Coturnix japonica: one gene and its partner. The protein of the gene in region 2 purifies or fractionates together with the protein of the main gene of each other region. This does not show direct contact. Links are inferred from orthologs where the notes say so. Each region holds a gene or a part of one and is shown on either strand. Other genes may lie near its edges.

The links. The genes of interacting proteins can lie anywhere in the genome.
Region 1: the proteins of STX7 (region 2) and NAPG purify together in Homo sapiens (affinity purification with mass spectrometry; 3 studies listed by BioGRID and IntAct, counting the BioPlex papers as one, with this or other methods). This does not show direct contact. The link is inferred for Coturnix japonica from reciprocal best matches to the Homo sapiens genes STX7 and NAPG.

Annotation. Positions count from the first base shown.
Region 1 is NC_029517.1:88,353,829-88,357,483, forward strand, and holds part of NAPG (gamma-soluble NSF attachment protein), read right to left. Parts: intron 3,290-3,655; coding exon 3,211-3,289; intron 2,520-3,210; coding exon 2,440-2,519; intron 1,044-2,439; coding exon 914-1,043; intron 217-913; coding exon 67-216; 3' UTR 1-66. UniProt on the Homo sapiens protein: Required for vesicular transport between the endoplasmic reticulum and the Golgi apparatus.
Region 2 is NC_029518.1:51,542,948-51,546,602, reverse strand, and holds part of STX7 (syntaxin-7), read right to left. Parts: intron 3,238-3,655; coding exon 3,168-3,237; intron 1,500-3,167; coding exon 1,409-1,499; intron 1-1,408. UniProt on the Homo sapiens protein: May be involved in protein trafficking from the plasma membrane to the early endosome (EE) as well as in homotypic fusion of endocytic organelles. Mediates the endocytic trafficking from early endosomes to late endosomes and lysosomes.

The DNA.
Region 1 (3,655 bases), on a different chromosome or scaffold from region 2:
CTGGTACCTTTGGATATGCTCAGCATCACAAATACATTGGATATTTAACATAACATAGGTTTGCAGCTAGCACAGTCCACCAGAATATTCATCTTCTTCCTCATCAGCATGAGAGCCCACTGTGGCTGGTCCTCTTGTTTTATCTTGTGTAGCATTTGGAGATTTCTTCTTGATTCCACCTCCCGGGACCACCAAGGTAAGACCAAGCTTGGCATACTAATAATAAAAATACAAGTTTACTTTCTGTACTATTACATTCAGCACAGAAAACAGATAGATGCAGCTTTCAGAGTATATTTATAATAAGAATAATAAAGATTAGAATATCCCCTGTGTTCAATATCTACTTTACTTTATGGCTTTCCTATCCTTGTACTTCCTGCTTATTAGTTAAAAGTGCGATCATTAAAAAAAAATATGGACTTCTTAAAATGGAAAAACTTTCCGTAACTAATGATTTGCTAGAGAATAAGCATAAAAAGAAAAACAAGCCAACATCAAACAAAGCCATCACATTCATTTTGTAATGCTTATGCACACATAGCACCAAATTGGTATTTATGAGATAAAACAAAGTTCCGGCCCTATGAAGAACCAATGAAAAGCAAACTGTGTTTTGGTCAATTAGACTCTTCAGACTGATAACAAACTGCTAGTTTACTTAGGCCTTCCCACCATAAGAATGTAACAGCAGTGTCAGACTACAGAAGTCAGGCAGTAAAGTAAAATAAATAAATAAATAAATAATAAATAAATAAATGTAAAGTTCACAAGATAAGATTACCAAGCAAGTCACAAAAAATACATAGATCCTTCTCTCCTTATTTTCCTAGAGTAGAAAAAAAGTCTCTCAAACTGAGCAAGCAAAAACTACCACAAAATTACAAATAATCTGCAAGAACCGCCTACTTACATCATTGTCCATGTATTTGAAGAGAGGCAAGTTACAGACTTCAGAAACTTGATCCTGATCTTGCTGATCATATCCTTCCAGAAGTTGCTCTAGTGCTGCACAGTCTTCACTTCCATTAAATCCAGGTATACTGAAGGAAATTAACAGCTCATTTAAGACATTTCAGCAATCTACTTGGTGCTCAGGTGGAACACAGATCATATCCATAAGCTTCAACTTCCAGCAACACTAGATTGCTGAGAATCAGACCACAATCCTATGAAGAGTATTAGAATTTTTCTATTTTTCCTGACTAGTCAATAAGATTTTCTTCCAATTGATATGCAGGAAAAAAAATATGTAATCAGTTTCTATATAAAATACAGACTGAAGACATAGAAAATATGACCAAGATGTTTCAAGACAGATCTTCAAAAAATTGCTTTGAAAAATAATGATTTAACTTAGATATCTGATCAAGTCACTTCACTTAAAACATAGTTTAAGTAAAAACATCATGTTTCAGTATTTTGTTACTGAAGTCCTAATGAAAGCTGAAACAAGAGACCTGCATGAAAGCCTCTGGAGTTTGTGGCTAGGAACATTAATCCAGACTTGACATCAGAAATTTCTCTTGGATGTATGAGGACTATGTTGTTCAATCCCTTCTATCAAAACGGATCAGTTCTTACTTTCTAAATCATCTTCCAGTTCAGACAACTATTAATGAAAAAATGCAAAAATAAAGAAATCTTGCTTTTCTTTTAACATATGACAAGAGCAAGTTCTACATCAACATAACCAGAAATGCAGTAACTCCCATACTACACCTTTTTCTTTTGTTACAACAAACCTTTAGATGAATATTTTCCTCAGTCTAATTACCATAGTACACAGTTCCAATGATTGTACTAGGATGCTACTAATGAGCGTTAAAACTGCATTCCACATTTCCATTCACAAACTACAATGAAAAGTTAAAATTAGACATTTTTAAGGGCTTCAACAAGACAGAAAGGTTTTAATAATAATTACAATAAATCAGAACATCCAGAATTCCTCATTTTTAATCCCAACTATTTGTTTATGGACGTTTGGTGGCCCTGCCAGGCAGGGGGGTTGGGATTTCATGATCCTTGAGGTCCCTTCCAACCCAGGTCATTCTGTGATTCTGTTTACAACAGGCAGCCCACTTCTGCTCCATTTGAAAGAGACATACAAAAGAATTCTAACCACAAGAGTATTCCTCTCAGCTTTTAACAAGGAAAAAACAGAAAGAACTTCTAATCTGCATCTCATTTCATCTGTTGCTCTGAAGTGCTTCTTTATGACTGACTTTATCACATGCTAATTACTGCTGAACCCACTACTGAAAGAGTGAAAAAATCTCCTGACAGCTGGCTACCTAACGGACAACGCTATTGTACTTCAAGTAAACAGACTTGGAGGCTCAGAACTTATTGACAGAGGTTTCCTTTGGTTTTTCATAATAGTTCTATATTAATGAAACAGTCAGCTTGAGATTTTAAAATATGAGGCAGACTTACCTATAGCTTTCCCTCACACACCTTTCTGCAGCAACATAATCATTTCTGTGAAGGTGAACTAAGACTTGAGCAATAGTTTTCTAAACAAAACAAGAAACACAGAGGGGAAAAAAACATAAAACAGATTCAATTTTAGAATGAAATTAAGACAGTTGGAACTACACTATGATAAAGTAGTAAGCCCCAAATCTTCAGCTGGTATGAAACAGTTTACCTCCTCTAACGCTGTAATGAACTCTTGCATCAAACTTGCTCGTGCTTTTTTCCTTATGTGATTTCCTACACAAGTCATATGTTGATTACAAACTCAAAACAATCAAAAATTCTTATTTAGGACACAAAGTAATTATTTCTACTAAGAATCCTGAATAAATGACATCAAGGTAAATGCAGATGAGAAGACAATCCTTGTGAAAGAAAAAAGCAATATAAAAACATCCACAATTCTCACCCATCCAGTTTCAAAATAAATCAACTCACATTCCAGAAGAGAAAACTGGGCTTATTCAAATTAATTTGAAGGCTTGTATAGCAATTATTATAATTCAGTATTTTTGATAGCTTCCACAGATAAATGGCATCCTATCAACATTATAGCAGTGAAAAACAAGAGGTCAAGGAAGCATGAACAACCACACATTCTCCTTATCTGGCAATCAATGTATCTCTGAATCAAGAGGTACATGATGTCAGACAGAATTCAGCCACTACTTTATGTTAGTTCAGAAAACCTTGAAATATCCCACCAGAAATTATCATTTAGATTTTTACCTTATAGCATGTTGGATAATTTTCAATTTCCTTATAAATACTTTTTTCCTTTTGAAGGGACAATGCAGCCTCATCCAATCTAAATTGAAACAAAAACAAGGAGTACCAGTGCCAGGAAACAAAAATAATGAACCCAGAGCTCATAGTGAGCTGTTTAATACACATGTGAGTTTTCCTTAATAAGAAGCAACATAGCTAAAATCAGCTGCAGATCTTAATAACAGCAGTTATATATAAGGTCAGCAATCCCTTTTACATACATGAAGGCTAACATCATGTTCGGTATTAATTCAGACCCAGCTTTTCACAACATCATACAAGATACATGCTTCATAACACACTCTGATAGATTCCTGTATGTCATGAAGTTGCTGTAAGTCCAATGTCTAGGAAGTACCAATGGAAATCATAGTAACTGTTTTCTAGTTTGAAAATTCCTTTTAAC
Region 2 (3,655 bases):
TTACTAAATTTACTTTGTGGTTAAGTGTGAAACATTTTGATGCTGTGAAATCTAAAATGAGCAAAGCAGAATGAATGAGGGAAATAGTGCTCAAGCATAAGAAATGAGCAGGGACAAAGCTCTCCACATGTATTGTACATAAACACTGGAAATGTACTTTGAACTGCAACCAGAAGTGGGCGCACATCCCTTTCAAATCCTTAAAATCTGTTAGGAAGATAGCTACTCTAACTTTCGAGTCTTTTTATTTTTACTTTTTTGAGGAAGATGCCAAGGAAGGAATGGCTATATCAGGCACATCAGAAAGCCTCAGTTTTATTTCCCTAAATATATCCATTATACCAACCCTGCCTTCCAAATTTGTGAGAGGCCATAACTTGCCATTCATCAACCCAACATCTGTGTATTTCATCTAGTGCTGTGTTTGATGAAAATGCTCATGATAAAAGGATTAGAATTAAACAGCAAAATATCCCACTGCCAACTTTTCAGCAACAAGACAAAGAATAAAAAACATCTTTGCCTCAACCAGAGGTTATATAGTAAGACCAAACTCTAACTCTACCAGAAGTTCACAACAGGCAGAGCATGCATGGAACACAGCCTGCCATTGGAAATGAGTGTTTCAGGACAATTCATTTTCCTAAGCGCTCCTTGCTAACAAGTCACAGATCAGAAAAATTGTCTGAGTGGCAATAAGCTGTGTTCATATTTTCTGGCGTCCTATTGCTCTTCCCTTATCTAAGTCCTGGATTTTGTTACTATAAGAAATCAAAGGATGAAAGTTGAGAGCATGCTAATGACAACAGCTACTTTGCATGTAAGCTCCTGCCTGTCTTTCTCACAGATATGGGAATGAAGCAGCTCAGAGGCTGCACAAATCGTTCTAGTAACAGCTCTTGTCCATCCCTCTTAAGAAAAGAAAAGCCTGTGGACAAGACATAGCATATCTGCTCATTTGAGTTATGCAGATCAGACTTGCTCTGCAAAAATTATTTGGACATTGTGCAAACAGATCTGATCACCTGCCACATGGTTAAGGTAGGCAGTAATTCCTGACCACTGGAAGCACTCAAAACTGATGAGTTAAACTCAGCAGCAACACTGCTACAGTTTACTGAGTGCCCAGATAGCTGAAATCACAGGCACAATGTACTGTCTTGAGTCCTGCCTTCTCAGTCAAACTCAATTCGGATATTTAAAAACATATTTGAAACAAGTCTGGAATACAGCAAAACATACTGTGTTGTAATTGCCCCTACTATGCAAATGTCCTCAGTGACCAAACAGTGCTTTGAAAGCCAGATGAAGGATACAAAAACTGGGCATGCAGAACTGAAGTCTCTCAAATACTCTATATGAGCCAACATGATAATCAAACTTTAAGCCATATTCTTTGGTTTTATACCTGTTCACTTGTTGCAGGCAAAGATCCAAACTCTTTAATGTATTTGTCAGTTTCTTTGGCAAGCTGGTTTGTGTACTGCTGTTTCTGTTGCCTAAAAACAATGCAAAGTTTCATTAGAGACCGCTGGCTAATTTTGTTGGAGTTTTACCAGTTCTCAGAAACACAGTGGTATTAAACACTCACTGAACTGCATGATGCCATCCTTCTACTGTTCTTCAGTGCAAAATCATAACAGATCACCGTGGATTCCAGGTGACATGGACACTGAGGGAATGTTTCTCAGTGTGACAGCACAGCTACTTACCTTTCCCACTTTTTTCTTTTTGCAATATTGTAATTGTTTCCCTAATGCACAGCAACAGGGTTCCAATTACTGTGAATAACTAAAGATGCTTTTCCATCATCTTTTTCAGGCTCTTATTTTGTTAAAGAAGTTCAGAATAACTGTATAAAGGACACAGTTTTTTCCTGTATGGAAGAACACTGGACCTGAATATAACTCCATGAACATAATCCATGAAAAGCCAATTCCTGATAGTCATTGGGAAGCATACCCAGAGATTTGTATTCTCCCATGACACAACAGCTGTGAACTTAACAGGAAAGTTTAATTAATTGCTTAAAAACTTAAATTGTGCTTTAAAAAGCCTTGTGTTCAGCATCATTTCTACTTGCACTTTATGTTTCTTTTCACTTCTGCTATTACCACACACTTTCATTATGAATTTCACTTTTTTTTTTTTTTTTTTTTTTTTTTTTTTTTTTTTCCTGGAGTAACTCAAGTTTTTTTTACCTGCTTTCCCAGACTGGAAAGCAGTTCGCAAAAATCAACATAAATACTTGAAAGCAATCAAATAACTCTCCCAGACAACTTCATTACATGAAGGGAAGGGCAAAACGTTCAGACCAGTGAAATGACCATAGATGAAAACCTCAAGGAAACTTATCATGTTAGCACTTTCCTAAATGGACTATAATTCACAGCAGTTTCTAGTCCTTTTAGTTTTGAAATTATGCTTAGATCTTGCCTGCTACTGCATAACTCACATATGTTGATCTTTATGCATTCGATCTCCAGCAGGACATCCACTGTGGGTTGTACCTGGCTATTGTTATGAGCTCCAAGCTCAGGTTATTATGAAGCAAGCTGGTTGTTCACACAATATGATATATACATATCATATACATATATATACATATATGATACAATATAATGCCTTTGGTTCAATACATATTTCCTCCTGCTACTCATTTTCTTTTTATTCCAACTATATGCAGCAATAGCCACAGTAATGATTGGCAACTTTCCCATCCATAGGGTTAGCACAACACAATGGTTATTTGCTTTTATGCTGCTGAATTTTATCTGGTAAAGGAGGCTGATTTAAAAAAGAAAATAATAATATTACTGGTTCATCAGACTGCGCTGAGAAGTGGAGAGATACTGAACAACAACATTGCTTTTTAGTCTTGTTGCTTTCCCTTAGCTAACATACAGCAAAAATTTTGTACATATATTGATACTGTAGGCAACGCATGCGTTCATGCCACCTGACCAGTGCACCAAAAGTATTCAAAATTAAATAAGAATAAAAAAAGGCACCTCAACGTGTAAATTTCAAATATTTCCCTATACCTGCCTTTCTCAGTGAGGACAAGCACCTTGCCTAAGAAAAAACCAAACAACCCATATCTAATCATATCCCTGGAAACTGTCTGCAATGCAATGAAATTAAATATTTTCATGTGAAATACTCACAGCTGTTGCCTCAACTCATGTGTGTCTTGTGGTGTTCCAAGCTGACTGAGTATTCTCTGTATTTCAGCAGCTGTTTGTGAAGAGGAAGAAGAGAAAGTTTAATAGTGCGCAGACATTTCCAACATAAGTTTATGATTTTTAGCTTAGCAATTCTAAAACAATAAAAATTGACAGAAAATGATATTGAACATATATATATATATATATATAAACTTTTTATTTTTTATATCAACTGAGAAGATTCACTGAAACATTAAAGAACAATTTGTAAATATTTTTGCCAACTTAAAGACAAAACCCAGGGTTTCTTACAAAGGATGGGAATATATTCAAGTATCTAAGCAGAAACAGACAATTAAAAGGCTAGCATTTTAATTCAGTAAGTATAAATTAGGCCTTTCTATTATAATACAGTAAATTAAAAGCACTATTATTTTCTGGTTTAATCGTATTTTCTGCATGCCATTTTTAAAAGCTGTATAAAGGCC